7 linked regions of the Mus musculus genome follow. The protein of the gene in region 7 interacts with the protein of the main gene of each other region in a biochemical or structural test. Links are inferred from orthologs where the notes say so. Each region holds a gene or a part of one and is shown on either strand. Other genes may lie near its edges. The genes, in order: Chek2, Akt1, Rbl2, Mid1, Cdk2, Mapk1 and Ppp2ca.

Evidence for each region.
Region 1: of the proteins of Ppp2ca (region 7) and Chek2, one has a biochemical effect on the other in vitro, tested with the Homo sapiens proteins (2 studies listed by BioGRID). The link is inferred for Mus musculus from reciprocal best matches to the Homo sapiens genes PPP2CA and CHEK2.
Region 2: of the proteins of Ppp2ca (region 7) and Akt1, one has a biochemical effect on the other in vitro, tested with the Homo sapiens proteins (6 studies listed by BioGRID and IntAct, with this or other methods). The link is inferred for Mus musculus from reciprocal best matches to the Homo sapiens genes PPP2CA and AKT1.
Region 3: the proteins of Ppp2ca (region 7) and Rbl2 form a complex in vitro, tested with the Homo sapiens proteins (2 studies listed by BioGRID and IntAct, with this or other methods). The link is inferred for Mus musculus from reciprocal best matches to the Homo sapiens genes PPP2CA and RBL2.
Region 4: of the proteins of Ppp2ca (region 7) and Mid1, one has a biochemical effect on the other in vitro, tested with the Homo sapiens proteins (2 studies listed by BioGRID). The link is inferred for Mus musculus from reciprocal best matches to the Homo sapiens genes PPP2CA and MID1.
Region 5: of the proteins of Ppp2ca (region 7) and Cdk2, one has a biochemical effect on the other in vitro, tested with the Homo sapiens proteins (2 studies listed by BioGRID). The link is inferred for Mus musculus from reciprocal best matches to the Homo sapiens genes PPP2CA and CDK2.
Region 6: of the proteins of Ppp2ca (region 7) and Mapk1, one has a biochemical effect on the other in vitro, tested with the Homo sapiens proteins (2 studies listed by BioGRID and IntAct). The link is inferred for Mus musculus from reciprocal best matches to the Homo sapiens genes PPP2CA and MAPK1.

Annotation. Positions count from the first base shown.
Region 1 is NC_000071.6:110,846,365-110,850,494, reverse strand, and holds part of Chek2 (serine/threonine-protein kinase Chk2), read right to left. Parts: intron 2,107-4,130; coding exon 1,982-2,106; intron 1,866-1,981; coding exon 1,718-1,865; intron 900-1,717; coding exon 809-899; intron 1-808. UniProt on the Homo sapiens protein: Serine/threonine-protein kinase which is required for checkpoint-mediated cell cycle arrest, activation of DNA repair and apoptosis in response to the presence of DNA double-strand breaks.
Region 2 is NC_000078.6:112,671,136-112,676,001, forward strand, and holds the start of Akt1 (RAC-alpha serine/threonine-protein kinase), read right to left. Parts: upstream 3,142-4,866; 5' UTR 2,865-3,141; intron 2,805-2,864; exon of another isoform or gene 2,571-2,804; intron 520-2,570; 5' UTR 427-519; coding exon 381-426; intron 1-380. UniProt on the Homo sapiens protein: AKT1 is one of 3 closely related serine/threonine-protein kinases (AKT1, AKT2 and AKT3) called the AKT kinase, and which regulate many processes including metabolism, proliferation, cell survival, growth and angiogenesis.
Region 3 is NC_000074.6:91,083,159-91,087,288, reverse strand, and holds part of Rbl2 (retinoblastoma-like protein 2), read right to left. Parts: intron 3,991-4,130; coding exon 3,862-3,990; intron 1,857-3,861; coding exon 1,696-1,856; intron 1,615-1,695; coding exon 1,550-1,614; intron 307-1,549; coding exon 120-306; intron 1-119. UniProt on the Homo sapiens protein: Key regulator of entry into cell division. Directly involved in heterochromatin formation by maintaining overall chromatin structure and, in particular, that of constitutive heterochromatin by stabilizing histone methylation.
Region 4 is NC_000086.7:169,924,449-169,928,578, reverse strand, and holds part of Mid1 (E3 ubiquitin-protein ligase Midline-1), read right to left. Parts: intron 1,626-4,130; 5' UTR 1,570-1,625; coding exon 910-1,569; intron 1-909. UniProt on the Homo sapiens protein: Has E3 ubiquitin ligase activity towards IGBP1, promoting its monoubiquitination, which results in deprotection of the catalytic subunit of protein phosphatase PP2A, and its subsequent degradation by polyubiquitination.
Region 5 is NC_000076.6:128,699,417-128,702,352, forward strand, and holds part of Cdk2 (cyclin-dependent kinase 2), read right to left. Parts: intron 2,029-2,936; coding exon 1,927-2,028; intron 704-1,926; coding exon 560-703; intron 260-559; coding exon 56-259; intron 1-55. UniProt on the Homo sapiens protein: Serine/threonine-protein kinase involved in the control of the cell cycle; essential for meiosis, but dispensable for mitosis. Phosphorylates CABLES1, CTNNB1, CDK2AP2, ERCC6, NBN, USP37, p53/TP53, NPM1, CDK7, RB1, BRCA2, MYC, NPAT, EZH2.
Region 6 is NC_000082.6:17,017,544-17,021,673, reverse strand, and holds part of Mapk1 (mitogen-activated protein kinase 1), read right to left. Parts: intron 3,389-4,130; coding exon 3,199-3,388; intron 1-3,198. UniProt on the Homo sapiens protein: Serine/threonine kinase which acts as an essential component of the MAP kinase signal transduction pathway. MAPK1/ERK2 and MAPK3/ERK1 are the 2 MAPKs which play an important role in the MAPK/ERK cascade.
Region 7 is NC_000077.6:52,115,595-52,119,724, reverse strand, and holds part of Ppp2ca (serine/threonine-protein phosphatase 2A catalytic subunit alpha isoform), read right to left. Parts: intron 3,240-4,130; exon of another isoform or gene 2,963-3,239; intron 2,728-2,962; exon of another isoform or gene 2,717-2,727; intron 1,739-2,716; coding exon 1,565-1,738; intron 1,057-1,564; coding exon 967-1,056; intron 583-966; coding exon 421-582; intron 1-420. UniProt on the Homo sapiens protein: Catalytic subunit of protein phosphatase 2A (PP2A), a serine/threonine phosphatase involved in the regulation of a wide variety of enzymes, signal transduction pathways, and cellular events.

The sequences.
Region 1 (4,130 bases), on a different chromosome or scaffold from region 7:
ATTAAAATAAAATAGAGCTGGGAAGATAGCTCGGCCTATAAGACGTCTGCTACGGGCTAGAGAGATGGCTCAGCAGTTAAGAGCAGGACTGCTCTTCCAAAGGTCCTGAGTTAAATTCTCAGCAACCACATGGTGGCTCTCGTGTAAGGGAATCCAATGTACTCTTCTGGAGTGTGCCTGAAGACAGCTACAGTGTATGAATATAAATAAAAATAAATAAATCTTTAAAAAGAAAAAGAAGTCTGCCACACAAGAGCCTGAGTTTGGATACACAGCACCGGCCTTAAAAGCTTGTCTCTAATCCCAGTGCTGCTGTGGTGAACACTGGGACATTCTAGGGCTCGCAATCTAGAAAGGGAAGCTGAGTCAGAAAGCTCCAGGTTCAGTGAGCTACAAAAGACAAAGTGCAGAGCCACTGAAGAAGGCACCGATACTGACCTCGGGACTCTGCACACAAGCATCCTCACACAGGCAAGCATAGAGACCACACATGCATGCACACCGCATGCGCACACACACATCATACACACACACACACACACACACACACACACACACACACACACACACATGAATAGTTATCAGAGAAACCAAGCCTGGTGGCAGCGCTTATCCCAACACTAAAATTTATAAGGGAAAAACGTTTATTTAAACTGATCATTATCAAATAAATCAGTAGTACATGTATCACAAAAGTTTGACAGCTATATAATAATAATGTTATAAAATCAGTTATAAAAAACTAACCCATGAGAATACACAGAAAAAAATGAGTTTTAGTTTATTATATAAAGAAAATAAACTTTACCTTCCAAGAGTTTTTGACATGATGTATTCGTCTCTTAATTCCTTAGGATAAACTGACTGATCATCTACAGTCAGATCAAAAAATACAAAAACTAAGGGGAAAGGACAGAAATGGGCTTGTTAAATCACGATTAAAAGACTGGTTCTCAAGTTTAACTACACACATAATATAATAAGGTACAGAATTACATTTGTCATGTAATACAAAGTGAATTATTTTTAATCCAGGGGCCAACCAGATAGTTCGGTAGGCAAAAATCACTTGCTATGTACGCCTAATGACTCGACTTTGGTCCTCAGAACCCACAGTGGAGGGAGAAAATGAACTCACAACAGTTGTTCTCTGACCCCTATATGCATACTGGAACATGTAAGCCTACACATGCATAGTGTAACATGTAACATGTAAGCCTACACATGCATAGTGTAACATGTAAGCTTACATGCATACTGTAACATGTAAGCCTACACATGCTCACATAAATCAATCTCTCTCTCTCTCACACACACACACACACAATAAATGTAAATAATTAAGGTGGAGATGAGAGTAAGACACCTTACATCCCCTGCTGGCCTCCACACCTACACAAATGCACAAATACATAAACCACACACACACTCAAAGTAAGTTCTCAGCACTCAGAAGACAGAGGCAGGCAGGGTTCAAAGCCACCCTGGTCTACATAGGGAATGCTAGGACAGCCATATAGTAAGACCTCGTCTAAAAACAAAAATAAAAACAAACAAAAACCCCACAACTCAGGCAATGGTGTAACTCTTGGATGCTACTGAACACTGACTTACTTAATTTGACTGAAAAGCATTATTAAAGCATAACTGACAGAGACACAAAAATTTCCCTTTACAGAGGAAGTTAAGAAAAGCTCATTAACCGTAATAACATTACCTTTATTTCTACATAGTGAAAGTGCGATTTCAGAGTTGTTACTCAGAGGACAGCGTTTGCCTTTCCCAATAAGCTCGGTATTTACGAAGGTTCCATTTCCACTGTGATCCTCTATGTATACGATGTAACAATTTTTAGGGCCCATTTCCTAAAACAGAGAATATTTTATGTCCAAATTTTGACACCAAGAATTAATAGCAAAAGACGCCCCAGAGCAACGACTAGATCACCGGGTCTCCGAGGAGAGAAGCAACCGTTACCTACCCTGAAAATACGAAAATGCTTCTTGCTGTAAGTCCGGTACTTGTCCGTCCTTCTCAACAGTGGTCCATCGAAGCAATATTCACAGCTTTTATCTCTCCCAAACCAGTAGTTGTCGTTAACACAGTCTGTTGATACAAAAACACACAGAAAAGAATGTATCAAAGTGTTAACTAGAAGAAGGAACCAAGTCTGTGGAGTGGTGCACATGTGAGTCCAGCAGGACAAGCTTAAGAGACTTGCCTACAAGAAAGACACTGTCAAAACAGCAGTAAGAAGACAATCAAGGGCTGGAGAGATGGCTCAGCAGTTAAGAGCACTGACTGCTCTTCCAGAAGTCCTGAGTTCAATTCCCAGCAACCACATGGTGACTCACAGGCATCTGTAATGAGCTCTGATGCCCTCTTCTGGTGTGTCTGAAGACAGCTACAGTGTACTCATATACATAAAATAAATCTTTAAAGAAATAAATAGGGGCTGGAGAGATGGCTCAACAGTTAAGAGCACTGACTGCTCTTCCAGAAGTCCCGAGTTCAAATCCCGGCAACCACATGGTGGCTCACAACCATCCATAATGAGATCTGATGCCCTCTTCTGGGGTGTCTGAAGACAGCTACAGTGTACCTACATATAATAATAAATAAATAAATCTTAAAAAATAAAAGGTAGAGACTCAAGTTAATTAAAAAAAGAAAGAAAGAAAGAAATGTGACTTTTAAAAGAAAAAGACAATCAAAAGTATAGATTCAATATCAAAGTTTTGTATTAAAGACTGAGGGACGCCGGGCAGCAGTGGCACACACCTTTAATCCCAATACTTGGGAGGCAGAGGCAGGTGGATTTCTGAGTTCCAGGCCAGCCTGGTCTACAGAGTGAGTTCCAGGACAGCCAGGGCTACACAGAGAAACCCTGTCTCGAAAAAAAAAAACAAAAAGAGAAACAAAAACAAACAGTGCACACTGCAAGTTTAGCAAATTCAAGGCCTTGGGGCTCAAGGCGGGGAGGAGGGGAGGGAAACAAAGACACAACAATGGCTTACCTTTGTTTTGTTTTAGGTTGTTTTGGTAGGTGATTATTTGACCCTGGTATTTGAGGCAGGCAGGAGCTCAAACCCTCCAGGCTGGCTTCTAATTCTCTATGTAGCCAAAAATGGCGGGAAACTTCTTTTTTCAAATTATTTTAATTAGCTATTTTCTTCATTTACATTTCAAATGCCATCCCAAAAGTCCCCTATACGGCCCCCCTTCTCCCCTACCCGCCCACTCCCCTACCCACTCACTCCTACTTCTTGGCCTTGGCGTTCGCAAGACCAAGGGGCCTCTCTTCCCAACGATGGTCGGCTAGGCCATCTTCTGCTACATATGCAGCTAGAGACACGAGCTCTAGGGGTACTGGTTAGTTCATATTGTTGTTCTACCTATAGGGTTGCAGACCCCTTCAGCTCTTGGGTGCTTTCTCTAGCTCCTCCATTGGGGGCCCTGTGTGATGGTAAACTTCTAATCCTTCTGCCTCAAGTTTCCTGATGCTGAGTTTGCAATCATGTGCCGACCATTCCCAATTTATAGGGGTGCTAGGAATAAAACCCAGAACTTTGTGCACACTAGGCAAATGCTTTCTACCAACTGAGCTACATTCCAGCTCTATTTACTTGTTCTTTGAGAGAGTCTCGTGTAACCCAGCTGGACTCGAACTTGCTGGCCACAAATTCCAGATATTCCCGCCTCAGCCTCCCAAGTGCCAAGATTGCAGGCATGTGCCACTACACCAGGCTGGGTACAATTATGGGTTAAATAATTGATGGTTTATACATAACCATGAAATGATAAGCAGCCGTTAAGACTTCTTGAATAAACCAGGCTGCAGTGGCACACCCCTTTAATCCCAGCGCTCAGGAAGCAGAATCGGGCAGCCAGCCTGGTCTACAGAGTGAAGTGAATTCCAAGACAGTCAGGGCTACACAGAAAAAAAACCAAAGAACTTCTCAAAACACTTCTCAAATCGTTTGATTTTGAAAAATATTTAGTTAGCTGCGTATTACCTTCCTGAGGTTTCCTATTACACTCGGTATAAAATCTACAATCTTCCTCATGTCCGACCAGGTACTCAGGTCTAGGCACTTGCCTCCACAATGCCTCTCCCCCTTGTTAACTAC
Region 2 (4,866 bases), on a different chromosome or scaffold from region 7:
AGCCCTGGAACAGCAGCCACGTCCTTGCTGCCTTCCAGGAAAGCCAGGCGTGAGGCTGCTGCAGCTGGCCCCACCCCCAAGCCACTCATGGCAGGCCCCGCACAGGGCCTCAGCCTCTGGCCAAGAGGCCCCAGGAGGAGGCCGTGACCTCCATACTATGGGAAAAGCTGGGCCTGCATACTCCTGAAGCAGGCCTAGAGCCCCATGATGGGGAGGTGCCCCTTCTGTCTGCTAGGCCTAGACACAGCAAGCACTTTCTGATAGGGCCTGCTGGGTCAGTAAAGACCCCACCACCACCACCACCACCCCCGCCCCGGTTCCACATTGAAGAGCTAGGCAGACCCAGGCCGGCCTGCTTCTCCTGTGGAGTGCGGACTTACCTCGTTTGTGCAGCCAGCCCTCCTTCACAATGGCTACGTCGTTCATGGTATCCGTGGCCCCCAGAGACAGGGGTAACCCAGGGATGATGCTCAGAGTCTCTTCTCGGTAGGCTGAGCCCAGCCGGCCTGGCCGCAGCGTCTAGAAGAAGCCGAGAAAGCACGTGAGACAAGGTCCCACTTGGGACTAGCTTCCGTGAGCCCCAGAGGGCCCACAATTACCCATGTCCCCTCATGTGATCTACCCATCTCTGGTTCCCAGGTTCCCTCCTCACCCTTACTCCCTGCCAGCCTGCCTGACGTGTCTCCAAAGGTTGCTATAGAAGACCTCCCTCCAGTAGTAGATGCTACACACCCAGATCTAGGCCTGGTAGTCCGGGGTGCAAGGCTGTGGCCAACCCCCATCATCCTGGTCTCTGCTAGAAACATTCATTTCCAGAAGGCTTTTCCTGTTAGGCAGCTTGTTCAATTTGCTACCCCAGCAGATTAGGCCACCTCCTCCAGGCAGCCCTGACTGCTTCTGCTCTGCCTCGCACTAGTGAGGGGTGCTTACCACTGTCTCACCACCCCCTACAGTCTGGGAGGCCTACTGCAGGTCGCAGGGTCCCTACGGCTCACGTTAGGAACGCGGGAAGGCCAACACTGGAGAGCACAAGTAGAACAGGCACGGTATGAAGCTGAGCCCAAAGTCCTTCAGGACAACACTAAAAACTCCTCAGGCAGAACCCCAGACCCCTTGGGAACACAGCACCCTGCCTGTGAAGCTGTCCCCTTCACTTGGTGAGTACACACTAGGCACATATGGTTCTGTCGAGCCTTCACCCTACGCCTGAGACAGAGAGACTCTGAGACAGCCTGCTGGGAACACCCAAAGCAGTGGTTACGACCCACAATTACAGTATCCGGGAGCCCACAAACAGGGCAGGTAACACACAAGGGTCCTGCAGCGGCCAACTAGCTAGCCTGTGCAAAGCAAAGGGTGCCAGCTCACCTCGCAAAGATCCCCCCGCCCCCCAATTGCTTCTCTTCCAGAGGGACACCTAGGTATCCTTCAAATATCCCCAAGTCTGGACATTCTGGGAAAGTGCACCTGAACAGCCCTTGACCAGCAAGCCTGTGTTGTCCCTCCACCTGGAGTTCATGTGGACAATCCCCAGGAAAAGACTGGAAGGCCGCCGTGGAATAGATCCCAACTAGGGTCTACTACAGCTGACTGGCAACCCCCTATGTCATCTCTCTAGCCCAGAAGACACAAGCTGGCACCCAGAGTCTCTGTCACTTTGCCTTGTATGAAGCTAAATGTGGAACAAAAGGGAGGCCGGCTGCTATGTGTCAAATGCCAAATGCCAAAGTAGGAAAGACCACACCTGGCCCAAGAAGGAAAGAGCCCTTCCCTCAGCAAGCAGGTGGCGACTAAAAGCCAGAACGAAAAAGATAAGCCAAGAAGAAATCCCAGCTCAGTGACTGTCAGAGTGGGTGTGGCCTGGAGGCAGAGGGCTGTACTGCAAGATCTCTCTCGGTGGATGTCCCCTACCCCCACCCAGCCCCAAGGTCTGCTGATGACAGTCAGCTGTCCAGAGCCGTGTAAAAATAAATTCATACACACGGAGTGAAGAAACACAGCCATGTTAACGCCAATGTCCACATCAAGCCGACTTAAGCATGGGACACTCTTCCCACCATGCCATGCCGTAAGGGCATATGGTTGCTATTGTTAAGTCTTAAGAGTTCAGCCCCTCTGGGACACTGGCCCGTGAGCCACACGCCCAGCTGGGGCCCCACCAAGGCGACTCGCCCTTCACTTTAGTGATGGCTCTAGGCAGTCAAGGCTAGCCACCTGGAGCAAGACCAGGGGCCTGGGGGAAGGAGGAGTTTGGCCACACAGCAGAGGCCCAAGGTTCCACCACCGCCCAACTTAGAAACCAGTCCTCTTTAGACAATTCCATCAGCTCAGCCAGTATCCCGGATCCGGGAGACCGAGTCCACGCCGTCCTCAAGGCCCCCCCCCCCCCCGGCACCTCCAGAAACCACCTAGTCCAGGAAGCAGCTTCCGGGCCCAGGAGGGTTAGCAGTCCTTTGTGGGCTAGCCTGGGCACTGTGCCACCGCGCACAACTTTCTGTCCGTGGGAAATGAGTTCTCCTTCCCAGGGCCCTCCCACCGCACGCAGGCCGCGGGGCGAGCCTTTCTCCTACCCTCGCTGGCCGAGTGCCCGGGCAGCCCCAGGCCCCAGGGCGCACCGGCCCCCACTGCGCACACCAACAGCGCCCCTCTCCCGCGACCTGGCCCCGTGGAGCGGCCACCCAAGGTCACGCAGCGGCCGCCCGCACCCTCGCCGGCGTGGGCCTCCTGCGCGACCAGCCCGGCCCCGCGCGCTCCCCGCCCAGGCCTCCGCTCGGCCACTTCCTGCTCCTACTCCGAGGCGCGGCGCGGCCGGGAACAAAGCGGGGTGGCCGCGGCCCGGAACAGGGCGCGGCGCGGGCACTCACCGGGCCGCCGCGTGCGGGCGACTGGGCCTAGCCGGGCCGCGGCCTCGGGCGCCCGCCGCTCCGCATCCCGCGGGCGGGCGCTGGGCGGGGCCGGCTGAAGGCAGCGGCGTCCGGGCGCGCGCTGCTGGCCGGATCTGGGCCGCCGCGGTGCCGGCCACAGGACGCTGCTCGGTCCGCTCCGCTGGTCCCGGACTCGCGTGCGCTGCCGCGCTGGGCCGGCCGCCCGCCGACTCGGTGCTGCCGCCGCCGCCGCCGGCCCGCCTTCTCCCCGCCCCGCGCCCGCGCCGCCCGCCCACATCCGCCTCCGCCGCCCCGGGCGCCCCCGGCGCGGCCCGCGGCCAGGGCGAGGCACCCCGTGAGCGCGAGCGCGGCCCCGCAGGCGCCGCCCTCGGGTGGCCCCGAGCCAGGGCCACGCGGGTAACGGAGCCCCGCCGCAGATCCAGAGCTCCAGCTCTGGTCTGGGTTTCCCGGTTTGTGGGACCTGGCCCTTCCCTGCCTAGCTCTCCAGACCCCAAGGAGGGAGGCCAGCGTGGGAAGTGAATCAGTTTGACTCTCAAGAGGCCCAACTGTCCCCATCTTGGGAGCCGGGAGAGACCGGTCACCGGTGTCCTAAAGGCCAGCCAACACAAGAAAGAAGGCTATTGAGGGCTCATCCAACCCAGTACTGCCTGCCACAGCAACTGATAAGGACTCCCCAGGTGACAGGGAGGACGGGAGCACACCTGGACACCCAGAGGGGGCAGATTCAGGGGTAGGACTCAGTCAGCCAAGACCTTGCTGTGGACTCAGATGGGTGAGGCTTGGGGGGCGGTTCCTTATGGTGTCCCGGAATTGAAGAGTCAAGGTGGTTCCTGCCTCTTATCCATCCTCAGTCCTTCCCCCTTCGGCCAGCCTCAGCAGTTCCTGCGCAGGGCCCCTCCCTCGTCCCAGAAGCCCGACTTGATAGTAACCCTTTTGTGAATTTACCTTCATGTGTTTGGTATTTTTAACCAGGGGGCATTTTTTGTTTTTCATACAAGGGTCAGAGTTCACCAGGAGTGTAAACAAGAGGGTAGATTTAGTAGTCCACGCTATCGCCCAGGATGGAAATCGGAGCTCCTTCTCGGGCTCCTGGGGCTGACCTGGGAAGCACACCCCACTCCCGGAGAAGAACTCACTCTCCTCTCAGCCACGCCCCATACCCTTCAGACGGGGATGGGGATGGGGGGCTCTGTTCTGTGCCCTATCTGCTGCACAGCTGCCCCAGCTCAGAGAGCCTCCAGGGCGCTAAGTCAGAGGCTCAGCAGCAGTTCTGTTCTGCTCCAGCAGTATCCCTGACCCTGAGAGTGGCCTTCAGAGGCTGAGAGTCACACAAATATCCATCACTCGCCCAGCAAACCTTCACCCCAGGCCCCCAACTCCTCCTCTCCTACTTCCCCCATCCCGTTGCTACACAGTTAGAGCCAGCAGGGCGCCCTCTTGTGGAACACAGCAATTTCTGGCTGTTCTCTAGTGACCCTTCTCACTCGGATGCTCTTCCTGGAAGCCACTGTTGGAGACAGCTCCTACCTGTGGTGAGCCCTGTTTCTATGCAGTAACCAGTCCCGCCTCCCTTCTTTGTGTCTCTATCTTCCCCCGAGTCCGGAGTGGGTTGGGGGATAGGCGACTCCTTCTGGGTCCACACTTTGGCAACACCTCTTTGGGCCTCCTAGACAGAGCCACAAGGTGAGTAAGGTCCGCCTTACTGAGACTTGCCACTGGCCTGCTCTGCAGCCATGCTCTCCAACAAAAACTGGTCCCGGGGGCTGGCGAGATGGCTCAGCGGGTAAGATGACTGCTCTTCCGAAGGTCCTGAGTTCAAATCCCAGCAACCACGTGGTGGCTCACAACCACCCGTAATGAGATCTGACGCCCCCTTCTGGTGCGTCTGAAGACAGCTACAGTACTTATGTATAATAATAAATAAATCTTCAAAAAAAAAAAAACCAAAAACCAAAAACAAACAAACCAACCTGTGGTTCCT
Region 3 (4,130 bases), on a different chromosome or scaffold from region 7:
GGATTATGAGGAGACAACAGAAGCCAGTTTCCTCTTGCCGCAGCCGCATCTCCCTCGGGGCTTTGAAACGTGGTCAGTGCATCACAAGAGGCTCCTGTTTCCCTCTGGGCTTAACTCACCTTGTCAAGATGCTGCTGCAAGATGTCTCTCATCTGCGTCCGTTCAGCACTCTCTGTACCTGAGGCAGCACTTAGACACCGAGACAGAGTCCCAACTTCCTCCTCAGCATCCTCACCAAGGAATACGCGCTCATCCAGATTCCCAGCGGCTAACACGTATTCTTCATATGCCTTATTAACGGCCTTACTATGGGGAAACAGGACCGCCATTTCAGCTCATGTTCCACACCAGGGTTTTACTCACTACAGCATCTCGCAAATTTCTCAAGGTCATTTATTTCTGTAGAATAATTGCTCATTTCAAAAACCCAAGAGAAGTTGCAACTCGCTTTGATCTAAGTGTCCAGTACACACTGAATATACTTTTTTAACAGTGTGTCAAGGTAGGAACTCTGAACAAACCTGCCTTCAATAAGCTAATAATAATAATAAATAATGATAAACTAAATTATACTAAATTACGCTAAACTAAAGTTGTGATGCTGGGTGACATACAACTGGCATATGACCATGCAGGAACATTTCCTCAGCTGTTCTTGGCACCTCTAAAGACCTGGTATTGCCACACTGTCACCTCTAAAGATCCAAATACCAGTCCTTTTTTCCTTAACTTCATTTTTTTTTTTGAGACAAAGTAGCCCCCAACTTACAATCACCTTGCCTCAGGTCCTAAGTGCTGAGATGTCAGCCCCATGCTCTGATGGCCAGGCACAAAAGCATTTCTTTCTTCTCTTTTTTTATATTAAAAAATATTTATTTATTTACTTTATGTATATGAGTACACTGTTGCTGTCTTCAGAGACCCCAGAAGAGGGCATCAGATCCCATTACAGATGGTTGTGAGCCACCATGTGGTTGCTGGGAATTGAACTCAGGACCCCTGGAAGAGCAGTCAGTGCTCTTAACCACTGAGCCATCCCTCTAGCCCACAAAAGCATTTCTTAATTTCAAAATTTAGAGTCTAAAATCTTGAGTAATAAAACTTTGAACAGAACAAAAACAAGTTTCACTGAGAATAAAGACATATGGCATATGGTTATAGTAGAAGTTTCCAGAACTGTGATGGCTTCTATGAGTTCTACCATAAAGCATTAAAACCATCCAACGTACAAACAGTACAAACACTGAGCGCGAGGTCTCCTCACAGCTAAGTTAAAGTATCAGAGCAAGCCGGGCATGGGGAGGCAGAGGCAGGGGGAATCTCTGAGTTGGAGGCCAGCCTGGTCTACAGAACAAATTCCAGAATAGCCAAGGCTACAAATAGAAACCCTGCCTCAAAACAAAAACAAAAACCAAAAAACAAAACAAAACCAAAAAACCAAAAAACCAAAAACCAAAACCAAAACCAAACAAACAAAAACAAAAAAAAAACCCCAGAAAGCAAGCAAGCAACCAAACCATCCTAGCAGGTGTGCAGCGTAAGTACTCACAAACTCTCTCCAAAGTTTCCGGGCTCCAGGAAGCCAGTAAGATTTTCTTCCTTCCCCTTGAGAAGCTACGATGAAAAGAAAGGTTCTTGGGTTACGTGCGACCGAGTCTTTACCCAGAAAACGTCCGTATGTCATTACTTACGAACCTTTTTCTCAAACAGTTTCCTAATATAGGGTTTCCAGAAGTGTTCCTTTATCCCCTTGGCCTCCAACACTAGACCGTCGTGTAAGGAGCACAGCTTCTCAATGACACACGGCGGGTCGGAGGACGCTTTAGAGTCCTTGGGGTGACAGTCCTCGGACAGGCCTGTGGTGTATAAAATCACAAGATGGAGACAATGGTCAGCACCAACTCGCCAACATACAGTACACGGAAACAGAAATGTTAGTCTGCTCAGCACATGGTGGGCATGTGTAACTAATTTACATATGCCTCAAAAGATGAAGAGAGATGAAGTCAGAGATGGATATGCAACATCCCCAGGACAAACAGAAAGGGACACGCTTCCTCAACCTGTAACCCATGCTCAGGAGGACCGACTGAGCTGTAACATCCTGCCTCACATAGAGAAAGAACTATATAAATTATCAATTGAATTAGTAATGTGACTAAAGGCTGTTGGAAAAATAAAAGCTTGGGGGAATATCTGAAAAACATCAGAACTCTGTTCTGCAAATGAGCCTTACGTTCAAATTAAAAAACAAAACAAAACAAAAAAAACAACACTTAAAAAATTATACAGTTCTGCCAGGTGAGGTGGCTCACACCATTAATCCTAGCACTCAGGAACAGGGGAAGGTGGATCTCTGTGAGTTCAAGGCCAGCCTTGTCTACACATTGAGTTCCAGGACAGCCAGAGCTACAGAAACCCTGTCTCAAACAAACAAACAAACAAACAAACAAGCAAACAGACAGACAGACATTACCCATTTCTGAATGCTGAGATGGCTCATCAGGTGAAGACACCTGCTTCCAAGCCCGACAACCTGTTTACTCTCTAAGAGTCAATTTATAGTGTTCTCTTTCATAAGAACATAAAACAATCAAAGAAAATTAAAGGAGGTAAAAACAGAACAAATAACAATATCAGACAGAAGCAGCAGAGGCAGCACAGGACCAGGGCACCCTGTGTCCAGTCCCCAGAACAAAAGGTGAGAGAATAAAGTGAAGACAATGGGGCGCACAGCAAGGGGCAAAGGTCAGGTGCTCCTAGTTGAAAATGCTTGGACCAAGATTTAGAGTTTAGTCTTTGGAATCTTGGACCATTTGCACCATCTTAATTAGATGAACATGCATAGCCAAAAACTCTTCGGTGACATCTACAACTTTCTTTTTCTGCTTTGATTTTCTGCTGTCTTGTTTGTTCTCGTTAGTACTGAGAATCAAACTCAGGGCCAGCCAAGAAGTCTGTCACAAACTCCATCTCAAGCCTACGTCTCACACCTCTCGAGTCACAGGGAACTGGGAGTAACTAGCTCCACTAATTTTAAAACCAACCCGGATGGGCACGTTGAAGTTCTAACTGAAACCATGCCCAAGCTGACGGCCAGAATTCTTCCACGGTGTTTTTCATGCAGAATCAGCAATATAGACTAGTCTATACATCCTCAGTATTTATGTATATGGCTTATAGAAATTACATAGTCTAAAGCACATTACACGTACCACCAAGATGAGTATGACTCTCATACCAGTCACCCAGAGAGCTAGGTTCTTGTTTCAACATTTTATTTTTCTGTAGCAAAAGAAGTGAGATGCCGTTCTTTTAGCCAACTCTTTGCTGCTACTTGGGGTGCGTTAAGCACCAAATGTGCCAACAGCAAGAAATACTACCATGGCTTTTGCTATATATTTTTCAAAAACCGCCAAAGTTATCATTTAAAACTAAATTCGGTTATATTTGCTTTTCGTTTTTAGAGGTGGGGGTAGGGTGGGCACTGGAGAGATGACTCACTAGTTAAGAGCACAGCTTACTCTTTCAGAGGACCTAGGCTCAATTCCCAGCACCCATGGCTCACGGCCATCTATAAGCCCGGTTACACAGGATTTAACACTCTCCTTCTGGCCTGTGGGAACAGCAGGCACACATGTGGTACACAAACATACATGCAGACAAAACACCCATACACATAAAATAAAGTGAAACATTAAAAAATGTCTGGAGATGCTGACTTCAGTATAAGCACTCATACGACTCAGGTGGCAGAATTTCTCCAATACTCATGTCCTCTGAGGCTAGCAAGCCTGCATCTGGGGATACAGTTTCCACGAGTAAAAACCATGCAGAAACACGGGCTTTCAATAAACTTACCTTTAAAATTAGGGTTCACAAGTTCTTTACGGTTAGAACACTGAAGGGCATTTCCATAGACTAAATCTAATGCGCACAGCAGAAGATGGTAGGAATTGACCAGATCATCGCTAATCATGGGGAAGTTCCCTACAGGGTTAGAAAAGTCACAGTTCAATCAGCATCCACTGCACAGTATTTTAAAAATAATTGCTTCCTCTAGTTATAATGACACCAGACACCATTATACCAAGTTGGTTCAAGAGTGATACTATGTTTTGGCAAATTTA
Region 4 (4,130 bases), on a different chromosome or scaffold from region 7:
TAATTAGTATCTTGTGATCTAAAAATTAGCTGAGGAACATAATATCACATACAAACTTTCTCAGCCGTGTTTGCAGTAATGAGACCCACTCACTGTCAACTGAAGTAGAATAGACATCAGGAAGGTTTTTGTTCTTGTTCCCTGCTGCTTTCTAACCTTATTTAGAAAGAGTATTTTAAAAGTTAACGTATAGCCATATTAATTACTATCCCCCAAGTTGGAATTTGGATAATTTCATACTAGAAGTGGATGAAACTCAGACAGTCTTGCCTGTAAAATCGCTGAGTAAAAGAAGCTTCCATAGACAGGAACGCTTTCATGAAACCCGAGACTGTCAGAACATGCTAGTTCACCAATAAGCCGAATATCATTTACACAAGGGGGTCACATGTACTCTAAAATTCCACGTTGGACACAGACATTTGCTACACACATTCTCCTTTCTAGTCTTTTGTTTGTGTAGTAACTACATAAAGGTACAACGTGAGTAAATTACTTTTTCCTGCATGAGTGAAGAAAATAAATGCCTGTAAAAGCTCAAAAGATCGATTTTTATATTCCTCTTTCTTGTTCACTCACTGTTCCCTCCCCCATGCTTTCCCTCTCTCCTCTCTTTGCAACAACTGCAGACATTGAAAATGATCCAGAAAACAGCAAGAGTTGAAAATGATCCAGATTTTTAGAATTTGCCCTCACCTTGACAACACTAAAATTACAAGCAGCAGTCAACTTTTACAAGATACCCTCATTGTGTAACATCTATAGGCTGCCAAAAACATGCTACAACTAATCAGACAACAAAGGTGAAGAGAAATCCTTCACCTGCCATGTAGCTAGCAGTGAATACACTTCTTATTTCCATGACATTTGCTGGCAGAAAGGGGTTGGCTTAAGGCGGATCGGACTAACCTTCAATTTGTCATAGCGCTCACTCAAAGCTGCCACCTGATGATCGCGGTGCCGCCCAACCAGTTTACACAAGGCACAGATTAACTGGTCATCGGTCACACAGTACATATTCACCTTCTCATCCTCGTGCTCCAGGCACATCAGCCCCCGGATGTGCGAGTCCGGGATTGGCTCAATCAGACGATGGCCTGTAAAGGGCTTCTTGTTCGGATGAGTGGCTTTCAGGCACTCATCACAGTAGGACACTTCACAAGTAACGCAAGTCTTCACAGCATCCTGGGCAGGATCCTGGTCACAGAACTGGCAGAGAACCTTCTCGGCAGAGGACATGGTGTTGGCGTCAAAGGCCCGTTCCCTGCGGGTCTCACTGGGAGAGTTGGGCCCGCTCACAGATGCTTTCTGAAATCTGTCAATGATGTTTTGGAGGGTGACGTTGCGCTTGAGCCCGTCTAGACCTCGCTGGCTGAGCGTGATGACATGCCGGCAGGTGGGGCACTGGAAGGCGTTGATGGACTCCACAGGCTCGTTGGTGGCACAGTGAGAGACCAGGATTCGGTGGGCACAGTTGAAGCAGAGGCTATGTGCGCAGGGAAGCAGGAGAGGGTCCTCAAAAAGCTCCAGACAAATAGGACAGGTCAGCTCCGACTCCAGTGTTTCCATCTTCAGGCAAAACTCTCCGGGGTCATCAGCAAAGTCCAAGGAAGCTGATCAGCTATCTGGAAACAGAGCGCAAGATTGAATTAAGCATGAGGGGTCAGCCGGGGGGCGGGGGGAACTGTCAGCTTCGAATGCATCTCTTCATAATTCCAAACATAGGTTATAGAAGGGAAATTATATGTACGTTCCAAATGTCTGTCTTTACTGGGAGCAAATGATTAAAAAACAAAAACCAACAAACAAAAAACACAAGCCTATCATTTTCTCAAATTTCTAATTGTTGAAAGTGGCAGCTTTCCTTTTTAATGTTTATTGTTGTTTGTTTATAGTTTTTGCAGCTTTAGCTTTTAAAAGGTCTAACTGCAATCTGATAAGTGACTGAAACCGGAATTTCTCTAATTGGTGTACGGTCAGAGTAATCTTACATCACAAACAAAGTTTTCTTTTGGTTAAAATTAAAATGCAGAAACTTGATAATGAAATATAGTCACTCACAACTTTCAATTTGTGAACTTAAATATTAATGTATATACATTTTACAGACTATCAGTAGGCAATAGCAGGACAGGATTCCCAACTGTACACACGTACTTGTTATGGAGATGAACATTAATTATATATGAAGTTAAATGCGTGCATTTCAGTAGAAACAATCATGTTCAAATTCAGAACATCATTTCTCAAGATATTCTTGAGGAAATAGAAACAGATTTTTCACAAAGCTGCTCATGGTGAAGGCAGTATTTTTGGCATATGCTCATTGCTCATGTATTGATTAATCCAGAAATGAGGTGTGAGAGACAGAAATACATAAAACTACCTGAGAGCCTTTGTGAAGACTGATGACAAATATTATCACATACAGTTGATAAGTCCTAACAGTAATAGTTTCAGTTTAGAAAGCATGTTTGAAAGACTATGTAAAGGTTCCTGAGGATCCTAGTGCAGTCCCATTTTGCCCAAAATATCCTATCTCAGGCCGCGCTCTGTCTAGCAACAGGCCTGGCTGGCAGGAGGTCTTGTCTCACACTCACAACCCTGCTGGCCCAGTCGTGACCTCTGCCAGGTCTGTTGATCCCCTCCAGGCCACCTTCGGGTGGCCCAGCTGAATGTTCCCTTTCCCATAAATACCTCGTTGCTTTTGTGAACGCCTGCCTGCGTTCCCTGCAAAGAGAGACGACAAAGAATCCCACACAAGCACAGCTCATTAGGGTGAAGAGGCCTCCTGCTCATTAGCAGGCCTGGGAACTAAGCCTTTTTGAACCTTCTCCCTTTCCAGGCCATTAGTAGAGCTGTAGAGTGCTGCCTGGCGTATTAGCTGCAGCCCATTGCAAGCTGTGGGAGAATAGTGCAGTTTACCAGGTCAGGAGGTTCAAATCACTTGTAAGGGTAGAAAGTTCTCAGTTGGGTTTGTGGGAAGGCTTCACTTCCAAAGCTGTGTATATTAATTCTGACAATCAGTCAATTGTATTCACACCTCCGCTTCCATACAAAATGCAGGGTTTCTAGAATCAGGTGACCTTTTATGAAACAACATCCATCTGAAATATGAAGGGTGCATCATTTGCTGAAACACCATCAGCACATTAGCAACCGAAATAAGATAACTAAAGAATATAAAGTATGTCCTGGGCCTGTTAAAGAGTAGAAGAGGAAATTACTAGCTCAGAGATGACCTGCAACTAGTCACTCATATTTACTGCTAAATAAAGGAGTGGCTGCAATTTGAAAAACCCAGTGCTTACTCATCATTTCACAATCTGCAATGTAAAGCCAAAGGCTACTCTTACATAAAAAATACTTGACCATCCTCCCTAGGACCCAGTCCATTGCACCTATGGATGGCTCTGAAGAAACTGAAAGGTTTGGTTTATTAAGCAAGACTTTTATTAATTGTGGGTAGAAAATTATCTCCTTGTCAAATTTATTTTCCTTTTCTATCAGAAGCATAAAAATAGAAAGGAAAAATGTAGGCCTTTTCCTATGCTTTATTATGTGATGATTATCATTAATTATGCTATTTACTCATTTAAATATGTTCTTGAGACAGGGTCTTGCTATATATTACAGGCTGGCTGCAAACAATACTATCGCCTCTGTCTCCTGAGTGTTGGGATCATAGGAGAGAAGCACTATCACAGGAACACACCATCATGCACAACCTACTTCTTATTATTTAATTTTTACTTTCACATATACAGTATTGGCACTTATTTTGATGCTACCATATTATAAGCCAATACAAAAAACAAACCACCACCACCACCACCAACAACAAAAAGCAGTGTTGAGAAACTTTAAAAGTAAAAAGCAAAAAACTGAAAGTGATAATGGGTAGATAGACATTCAATGGTTAAATCACCTGCCATGTAATGTGTAACATATAGTAGGAACACTGGAGCATGGACTCTCAGAATGCACATAACTGCTAGATGGGCATGAAAGTCTCTGTAATCCTAGTACATGGAGAAGGAGACAGAGAAAGCTAGTTAGCCAGAACTCTGGGTTCATCCCCTGCCTTAATGAATAAGGTGGAGAGCAATCAAGGGAGAGTCCCAAAGTAA
Region 5 (2,936 bases), on a different chromosome or scaffold from region 7:
AAAGCTCCTCTCTGGGAAGTGGGAGGGCTCACAGGCATCTATTCTGGGCACTTACCGATAACAAGCTCCGTCCATCTTCATCCAGGGGAGGCACAACTTTGCTAAAATCTTGCCGAGCCCACTTGGGGAAACTTGGCTTATAATCAGGCATAGAAGTAACTCCTGGCCAAACCACCTCATCTGGGGTCCCCAGAGTCCGAAAGATCCGGAAGAGTTGGTCAATCTCAGAATCTCCAGGGAATAGGGCCCTGCGGGTCACCTGGAAATGGGGAAAGAGGAAAGCCAAGACCCACACTGACGTCAGTCCACATTGCCCCTTGTACAAAGGAGGTTCCCATAGGCAGTGAAAGGGCAGCAGGGCCCATGACTCCCCTCCCCAGGGCTTATCATGGGGTCGGTCATACAGAGCTTGAGACAATGAAGTCCCTTATCTGTCTCCTCGCCCCTCCTTCCTTCCCCCAACCGTGGCTTCATAGATTCCCGAGGCTGGGTGGGGCTGGGAGGGGGTGACTGTCTGGGGTGCCCCTGACGCATAGCAAAGGGATCCCAAGCCACTCACGGGGTGTGGGGCAGACACTGCGGTCATCCCCCCTCCTTGTGATGCAGCCACTTCTAGATAGGAGCACAGCGGGCAGAGACTGTGTCTTCCATTTCTTCTGTGTTCCCCACAGCACTTAGCATGGTGCTGGGTACACACTAGGTGCTTAACAAATATTTTTTTGATGAATTGAGAGAGGAATATGGGCAATTGTAAGGTACTGGTGGATAAATTCACATTCTATATGTATACCTATATCTAGGCTAATGGTCTCCAAGTCCCCAGTTTCAACCCAAAGGACCATAAAAATATTTCTCATCTGTCTACCCATTGTTGTATTAAATGGAATGGGAGCTCCCATATGAGGCTAGGCTTAAGGGATCCTTCAGTCTGAAAAGCCAGAGGTTGAGGGGCAGGGCATGACCAAGTCTACAAAACCAATAGGCATGGGTCAGTTAGACCACTTGCCTTTACTAAATTCCTTGTTTCGAATAAGAGGTCTATAGGACAAAAGGGAACAAAACAGACCTGCCCAACCCTTGACACTGTGACATGACATTCTCATCCACAATGTTCAAGCTCAAATACTATTAAATCAAATGTTAAAAAACCAAAGCTGGGCGCACACCTAATTTAACTCAGCCCTTGGAAGGCAGAGGCAGGTAGATCTTTCAGTTTGAGGCCAGCCTGGTCTACGAAATAAGTTCCAGGACAGCCAGGGCTACACAGAGAAACCTTGTCTTGTAAAAACAAAAACAAACAAACCAAACAAGCAAACCAACCCAAACCAATCAAAAGCAACAAAACAAAACAAAACCCTATCACTCACAAAACAAAACCCACTCTGTTTTAAATAAGTTTATGACTTTGTGTTGAGACCACGTTCACAGCTATCATTGGAAGCACGTGGTCTGTAGGCCACCTGTTGTACTAAATGGAATTCATTCTTCCAAATATTTGAGGATTAAGGCTGAAACAGCTGAATGAGTGGAGCCAGCAGGGTGGCTCATGCCTGTCAAGTCAGTCCCATGGGCGAGATGGTAATGGTGGAAAGTGGAGCCGAAGCAAAGGATCAAGAATACAAAGCCAGTCTGGGCTACAGAATGAGAGTATCTCAAAAACAGAACAAAAAACAAAATGGCGGAATAGGTAACAGAATGGATTGAGCTCACTCAGGGGATAAGATATATATATATATATTAGATAACTTGTGTTTACGAATATTCCAAAATTGTAGTTGGTATCGGGGCAACCACCTCCATAGTGGTGATACTTGAGAGAACCCTGTGATAAAAGGTCCATGATTCCCGGAAAACCCTTTTCCAGAAAGGTTTTGCTCTTGGATGTGGGCATGGGTGGGCAGCATAGAACCTGGCAAGCCTCCATACCATTTCAGCAAAGATGCAGCCCAGGCTCCAGATATCCACGGCTGTGGAGTAGTACTTGCAGCCCAGAAGAATTTCAGGTGCTCGGTACCACAGGGTCACCACCTGGGGAACAAGAAGACAACAGGGCTTACAAGGCAGGCAGGGTCACATACCTCAGTTCAACAAAACCCTGCTACCTTCAGCTTCTTTTTAAAAAGGGTTTTATTGCCAGGCAGTGGTGGCACACGCCTTTCATCCCAGCACTTGGGAGGCAGACGCAGGCAAGCGGATTTCTGAGTTCAAGGTCAGCCTGGTCTACAGGGTGAGTTCCAGGACAGCCAGGGCTACGCAGAGAAATCCTGTCTCGAAAAGCTTAAAAAAAAAAAAAGGGGGGGGGGGGATTTATTATTTTTTTATTCCAATAACGTGCATATATGCACGTCTATGTAGGTGTCCACAACTGTGCAGTGCCCTCAGAAGCCAGAAGAAAGTGTCTGATGCCTTGGAGCTGGAGTTAGGGGTGACTGCAAACTGCCAGACACGGGCTCTGGAAACTTAACTCAGGTCATCTGCAAGATTATATGCTCCTAACTATTAAGCCATCTGTCTATCCAGTAGTGTAATACTAAATCCCCAGATTTGGGACCTTCCTGGAAAATCTGAGATATTTAGACAATACAGCAACCAGTTTTCCTGGCCTAGTATCTGTCCAGGCAACCTTGTATGAATTCAGTGCATATCTTAAGACCCTTTGGGTAAAAGTTAGAGCCACGGCTCAGCAGTTAAGAGCACTTGTTCTTGCAGGGAACCCAGGTTCAATTCCCAGCACCCATATGACAGCTTACTACAATCTGTAACTACAGTTCCAGGGTATTAGAGTATCAGACACTTTCTTTTGACTTCTGTGAGCACCAGGTAGGTGTGTGGTACAGATATACATGCAAGCAAAACACTTATACACGTAAATAAAGACCCTTGGGTTGTCAGAGATTCCATTTACCAAGGAACTCCTGCCCCAGAACTCTGGTAAT
Region 6 (4,130 bases), on a different chromosome or scaffold from region 7:
AGCTTCATATTAGAGGTAGCACCTTTGTTCTCAAAGAGCCACATTTGCTTCAATTACAGCATCCAAGAAGCTGCATATTTACTTTGCAAAAGAAATGTTACTGTGTTATTTAAAAAAGTAGCCAGCCAGCCCATCTTCTTCTTTCGTAACTCTCTTGCAGGTCACTTCCCAGGTGGGTTCTCATGTAGGAGAGAACAATGAGGAAATCCTGTTTTTCTCCATACCCAATCGCCTACTCTAGCTATTCTACTTAGTATATAGAACCTTCACTGTGAACCTGAGCCTCTTCTTTAAAAGATAGCTTGTGTGACAATGAGGTGAAAACTCTGATGGTCACTGTCCCCTTGGGCTAAGGATGGAGAATAACCATAGCTTCCCCTAGTCTAGCACTGGGGATTGACTGAGGCCTCACACTATGAAAGCACTCTACTAGTGAGTTACATTTCTAGCCCAGCTATCAGACTTAGCTATCACTAGTGAGGAAGAGTACTATTAAGTTCTAAGTTCTGATTTACCTCAAGGTTTTCACTGTACATGCTATTCGACTTATTTCTATAACAGCCTTTTCTACCAGTGGCTGGAGTAGAACATGCCTTTTCTGCTACCCTCAGGAGGCAGAGGCAAAAGTCTGTGAGTTTGAGGCCAGCCTGATCTATACAGTGAGTTCCAGGACAGCTAGGGATACACAGAGAAACCCTGTCTCAAAAAAACAAAAACACAAACAAACAAACAGACAAACAGACTCGAATGAGAAAAAGCAATGATTTCCCCCCACATCTGAGGGCGAGCACTCTTAGCCACTACCACTTTTTATGGTAGATGATAGCCAACCCATTCCAATTCTACATGATTTATTATTCAACTTCTCAACTCATGTAACTCATAGTGCTTCTCTTTTGTAGCGATAACTCTTCATTCTATGATTTGCCTTTAACCAAAGCCAGTCTAGTCACCTTTTTTCCTCCCCGCCCCTCCCCCCCCTCTCTCCAGGGTATCTCTGCGTAACCCTGGCTACCTTGGAACTCCCTCTGTAGACCAGGCTGGCCTCAAAGTCAGGAATCTGCCTGCCTCTGCCTTTCCAGTGCTGGGATTCAAGGTGTGCACCACAGAACAAAAGAAAAAACCCTCCACAATAAAAAAACAACAAAACCCAAACAAGCCCATCATGCTTACAGATAAAGCCCCAGAGATACTCAGAATAACTCCATGAAAGAAGCCAGACCACTAGTGCAGTCCAAGCAGCCTCAGATGTCCTATAAGGGTCAGCATTCTCATCTGACCTCCCCTTGAACTATGGAAAAGGAAATGTTCCTAAAACTGTGTGTTGCATTTTGTATCCTTGTTTACAGGTGTACTACGATCATATAGGCTTCCTGATAACTCTGTGGACTCTGTTTAGCAAACAATGAGCACACATACTTGTACTGACCACAACCCCCATTTTTCTGGTCCATCAGAAATATGCCAACAGAAGCTGCAAACGGAGTTTAAAAACCCCTTGTATGTTTTTGTGAACCTGAGAAATTAAGGGTCACCATGTAGTACCACAATGTGATACATATATGACTCCAGAGCTTGAGTAGGTGACTCTCTTCCACACTAGTATTTGCTCAAATGTCACACAGTACCTGCCAGCATACCCTATTCTGAGTGTATATCTTACTGCTGTGGTACATAAGAATCTCAGTGAAACACTACACTCATCTCTGGAATGTAATGCTCTCCATGCCAATGATATACTCCAGATATCAACCGTAAAAATGGGAAATGAAACCAGCTATTGTGAAGCATGCCAATAATAAAAACCTGAAGAGAATGAGGTAGGAGAATGGAGAGTTTGGGATCAGCTTCAACCTTGCTGGGTGTTGTACACATCTACTGTACATCTCTATTATTAACTAACTCTTGGGAAGTGGATGCATGAATTTGCGGCCAGCTTGAGTTATAGTAAGACCTTGTTTCAAAATAACAAAAAGCACGCTTTAGCTAGACCAACAGAAGGCTGCCCATACCTTACTTAAAGCCAATCTCTAACTTATAAGCGATTGCTTAGTACCCACTATTGCCCTCAAACAGAAAAGAATGTAGTACTTTGCTTGGCCCTCCTTTCGACTGTTATTTCTCTGGTCTTCTAGCCTATGACACTACAATGCCCAAAAGGCCCTCTCTTATGAAACCCCATTTATTCTTGGAGGGCTGGCATGGACACCATTTTATTTCTTCCCTTTGCATTTGAATACTACCTCCTATGTGCCGCAGCACATGCTATCAATTATACGCTGTCTGCTGGGTTCCCATCTCTCCGTTTTCCGATTTCAGAGCAGCCATTGCCCTGGCACCTAACAAAGCTTCACCCAGGAATGTATATTTAACTGAGAGCTCAAATGATTATTTTTACACACCTACATATAAAGTTTCTTTACTGATATATAATTCATATAAAGCACACAATGCTTTAACATTAATATTTAATATTACAGTCACAGTTTCATATTCTGAAACTTTAGAACAATATAAAAAGTTGCCAAATTAGTACCATCTCCCCTAACACTATCAATTATAAACAACTCATTGTACAGATCTTCATTTTATCCATAATTAGTTAGATATCTGACTTCCATTTTCCTGTGACAATGAATTACACTATAACGAGTACTTGTGTACACGTGTTTGTATGAATACACATTTTCATTTTACTAAGGTACATACTTGGAAAAAGACTTTGTCAATGTTACTTTTCCTTTTTCTTGAGACAGAGTTTCATTATGGAGTCCTCGCTGGCCTGGAACTTACTATGCACATCAGGTTGCTCTTAAACTCCCAAAGATCTGCTTGCCCCTGCCTCCCAGGGCTGGGATTTGAGGCATATGCCACCATACCTGACACTGATTATAACCAATCTGGTGTCACTGTCACTGTGAGCCTTGTTTTGTTTTCTTGATACAGAGAATTAAGAAACAAAAATAACACATATGATGATGTACACATAAAGTATAGACATATAAGAACTACTAATTTTGCTACAGTGGCTACTGTCTCTGAAGGAAGGATGGGCTAAAAAAGGAATGAGACTCATACTGTGTATCTGTATTTTTCTATAAAATGTTTGTCTATCTGATAGTTTTGAATATAAATAACAATACTTCAAAGTTGTCTTTAAAAGTACACACCATCCTGAGAGTAAATGACTTGGCTGACCTTGAGATCACAAGTGGTGTTCAGCAGGAGGTTGGAAGGCTTGAGGTCACGGTGCAGAACGTTAGCTGAATGGATATACTTTAGCCCTCTCAGGATCTGATAAAGAAAATAGCAGATGTGGTCATTGCTGAGGTGCTGTGTCTTCAAGAGCTTGTAAAGGTCCGTCTCCATGAGGTCCTGTACTATATATCTGTGTGACAGGAGGTTAAGGTCAAACACTGCCAGCTGCTCACACTTAGCAAAGCACTGAAACAGATTCAACTGCTCTTAACCCTCTCCCCATACAGCGTCAGACACAGCTGGGCCATCAAAAGAAAGAAGAGACTGAAGAGAACACGGCACACTCTCGTGGAAGAAAACAAACACTAGTCCTGCCACAGGTGGCTTGTTGTGGGCCTACACTGAGACTTGAAACAGAATATCGGTCAATCTATTTTAAAAAAAAATCTTTTTTTTTTTTTTTGAGACAGGGTTTCTCTGTGTAGCCTTGGCTGTCCTAGGACTCACTTTGTAGACCAGGCTGGCTTCGAACTCAGAAATCCGCCTGCCTCTGCCTCCCAAGTGGAATACTGGTCAATCTTGAAGTCTCAACTTCTCTGTTCTCCAAACTGTCCACTATTAACCAATTTCCTCCAAAGCTTAAAGGGCATGGTAGCCAACAAACAACACCCATCTCTTTGGCCCAGAAGCAATGTGTAATTGTATTGCACTGTTTTCTTTGCTTCTTGTCACCAATATCCTCACAGACCAACCCAGAAGTACTGGCCTAGAAATAGCATCGCCACTGAGTCCAATCTCTGCCTTTCTTCCTCATTCTCTAAATTCTGCATATGTATTGTAAGACCATAAGGTGTGTAAAGAAGTTGATGATAATAGGTTCTGCTCTTTAACCTCCACTGCCTAAGCACCTAAAACTTCAGCTAAGCCACATT
Region 7 (4,130 bases):
TCATTCTCAAAGTATGGCAGTCAATGTTTTAAGGTAAGACCCCTACCAGAGGAAAGGCTTCTTTCAAATCATCTACAAGCCAGTTATCTAAAGGGCATCAACATTTTGATGTTTCTTTCTTTTCCTATAAAGAAACAAACTAGATAATGTGAAATAAACCACTGCGATATATTATACCCTTCCTCATTCGCTCTGCATCTTCATCCTTTCATCATTAATCCCAAGTCCCTCCGAGTCATTAAGTGGATGCCCACTATCAGCCATGGATCTGACTTTCCTCTGACTGTCCATCTACTGAAGAGGGTTTAGCTCCCATGGCAGACTCTAGGAATAAAGGACATCTTGCTGACAGCATCAGTGTCAAACTCCTTTCCTTCAGTTACTACAGTTAATTTGACAGGTTTCAAGAAAAGAACATACCTCCATCACCAGCTGGTGAGCTCTGGACACCAACGTGAGGCCATTGGCATGATTAAATGTCTCAGAAATATCTTGGCCAAAGGTATAACCAGCTCCCCGAGGAGATATCCCCCAGCCACCACGGTCATCTGGATCTGACCACAGCAAGTCACACATTGGACCCTAAAAAGCAGGTATAAGTTATTAAACTGACTTCCAAATGTGGAATTCTTCATTTGATAATTCACCAGAAGCAACACTCTACAAAAATCACATTCTTAGTATGTGTGCTGAACTTTTGCAGTAAAGGTATCTCTGAAATGAAAATCAATTCCCACAAGGCACACTGCACTCAGTAACTTGCCCCATCTGCCCGTGTATCTGAGTTTTATTATTAGACAGATGGGCTAGTGGTGACGACCAGGAAGGCTTCTAAACGTCTAATGAGCAATGGTAAGGAGCTCATGTCATTTCATTTTGAAACCCGAGTGAACATATGATAAATTATGCTACAGCTAAACGATTTTTGTTTTTCCTAAGGAGTGTCTGAGAATTTGTCAGCCATACCTCATGAGGAACTTCCTGTAGGCGATCGAGTGCTCGGATGTGATCCAGTGTGTCTATGGATGGTGACAGACCACCGTGTAGACAGAAGATCTAAAAAGATTGATTACAAGTGCTAATTACACCTAAGAGAAACTGAACTCTTTGGACTACACATTAGACAGGAGCTGACACCATTTAGCTACATCAGTTCTAGGCTCTGTTTCGATGAGGATGGACCCTGAATAACTGGCTATTGTTCGACCTAATACCAACTACAGAGTACAGTATCTATTCCTGTTCCTGACCAACCACCATCCCTGAGGTTCCTTCTAAAGAGTGTTTTTCTAGCTTACCCACAGTCCCTCCAGAGCCTGACAGTCCCCCTCACACTGGTAAACAATGCCTTCCATCTCCCAGACCCCTCTACAAAGAGCCCCCAAAGCTGAATAGGTTACATTTTCCACCCCATGATCTTATCCTGACAGTTCAGCACCTAGAAAAGAACTTATCAGTATTTAGTAATGTATCCCCAAATGGAAAATCACTGCCTGCTAAACACCAAGAAAACAATTATTGGAAACAGGAAGAAACCCAGAAGTGAGTTTTATGGTACACACACCTGCCCATCCACCAAGGCAGTGAGAGGAAGATAGTCAAAAAGGTCTGTGAAGTATTTCCAAACATTTGCATTTCCGTATTTCCTTAAACACTCGTCGTAGAACCCATAAACCTGTGTGATCTGTCTGCTCTCGTGATTCCCTCGGAGTATGGTGATGCGCTCTCGGTAACGAACCTAAAGAAAACGACAACAGATGCCAGCTCTTTCCAAAAAAAACAAAAAGCAAGACACTTCATACAACTTTCTATAGGTAAATCCAGAGTTCCAACTGAGAGGAGGAGGGGCTGAGAGTGCACATCTCTAAACTTCAATGAACTGAAATTAGATGATAAACTTTTTAAAACTGCTGTTGCTGTTTCTCAAGGGTGGGTTTCTCTGTGTAGCCCTGGCTGTTCTTCAGCTCAAGGAGATCCACCTGCCTCTGCCTCTTGAGCTCTGAGATTAAAGGCATGGGCTACCACAGCCTGATGATTATAAGCATTTTTAATTAAAGGTTTATAAAATGCTTACCAATATCTCAATTAAGACCAAACCCCCTGCACCATCTTGTGTGAAATAAAAATCATACTTTTTTCTGACCTTTACTAAATTTAGTTATGCAACAATTACCATAACTCAGTTTTAGAGTCTTGCCAAGATTCCTTCCCGATCTGCAATGGCCCCACTCTTCCAGCCGGACAACCACTCATTTATTTCTGTCTTGAGAATGACTTTTCTAGAAATTTTAGTGTTTCTTGTGCTGCATATCCCACGGAGCGCGAGCTATCCTGAGTCACCATGCTACAGCACAGATGAGGGTGTGCTCCTTTCACAGCTGCACACTAGCATCGGGGGAGGGCAGGCCACAACCCATGGTTCCTGTATCTGCTCCAGTTTTCCTGTTTCTTAGTTACTGAGCTCATCTGCTCACATGCTTTCTTTTCTCTTGAACATATTCCTAGAGTGTAGCTATTGGGCTACATGATCGATTTATATGTAACTTCACCAATTCTTTAAAGTGGCAAACTCATTTCACATTCCTTTTTTTTTTAATGGTTTTAGAGCTTTATTGTAGAAAGGCAGAGAGAAAGAGAGAAGGTAGAAAGAAAGAGGCCGGCCGGCCATGGCCACGTGGAGAGAGGGGAGAAGGAAGAGAGAGAAGGAGGGCTAGAGATGAGAGTAAGGTGAGAGCTTAAAGCTCGTTTCACATTCCTGACAGGACACTTGGTATGGACTGCAGCCACTGTCTTAGTAACCGACGTGAAGTTGGCACTTGGGACTTTAACGTAAGATTTTTCTAATAACTAATGATGTTAACTAGCCATGTCCTTACTAATCATGTATCCTCTAGTATGAAGTAGCCATCATGTACCCTCTAGTATGAAGTAGCCCTTCAGTACTTTGCCCATTTAAAATCAGATTATCGGTAGGCAACAGGGCGGCTTCCCGCTTGCCTCCTGCGGCCCTGACGCTGAAGCAGTTCATGAGAAGGCAGCAAGTTCTCCTCCTCTACAGAAAGATTTTGCGAGCGATTAGGCAAGTTCCAAGTGATTCTGACTAAAAATACCTTTAGGACTGGGCCAGGAAAGAATTTAAAAGAAACAAAAGTGCCATAGAAGAGGATACAATGATGATTACCCAAGGCAATATGCAGCTAAAGGAACTAGAAAGGACGCTTGCTTTAGCCAACTTGTAACTGAAAGATTTTCAGACCTCCATGTGCTTTGCACAGGCTCCAAGCCACTGTCACAGAACACCCAAAAAGGTGATAATCACTCTAATCAAGAATGTAAATGAAGCCGGGCGTGGTGGCACAAGCCTTTAGTCCCAGCACTCGGGAGGCAGAGGCAGGTGGTTTTCTGAGTTCGAGGCCAGCCTGGTCTACAGAATGAGTTCCAGGACAGCCAGGGCTACACAGAGAAACCCTGTCTCGAAAAACCAAAAAGAATGTAAATGAAGGTGTGTTAATAGTCCACTACAGTCAGTGGCTGTAATAATTAAATGTGAACTAATGTCAAGAAATAAACAAACAAATAAAATTAGATTATCTAAGGTTAGGCATGCTGGTCCATGTCTATAATCCTAGTATTTGGGAGAAGCAGAAGGATCAGGGTTTGAGGTTTCTTACAGCCTGATCCTGTCTCAAGCCCCCTCCCCCAAAGACTGCAACCAACTTGAGGACTTGAGGGTAGCCTTGGCTTAGAGACTGTACAACGCAAACAACACTCCCCAGAACCACCACACAACAACAATAAAAATAAGACCTATCTTATGAGATGACTGACAGTAAAGGTGCCTGTCACCAAGTCTGATTTTAAAATTACATTTCATTTATTGTGAGTGCACGTATGTGTCCTCTCATTTCATCCATGTGGGTTCCAGTGCTCAAATTCGGGTCATCGGGTTTAGTGGTAACTGTCTTTTACTCACTATGTCATCTCACTGGCCCAAGATAGCCCAAGTCATAAGACACAATATGGCTACATTTTATCTGTTAGCTGCCAGTTTGATTTCTAGGACCCATATGGTGGAAGGAGATAACTAACTACAAGACATATTTAGTGGTATGTTTGTACCCACACAGTGT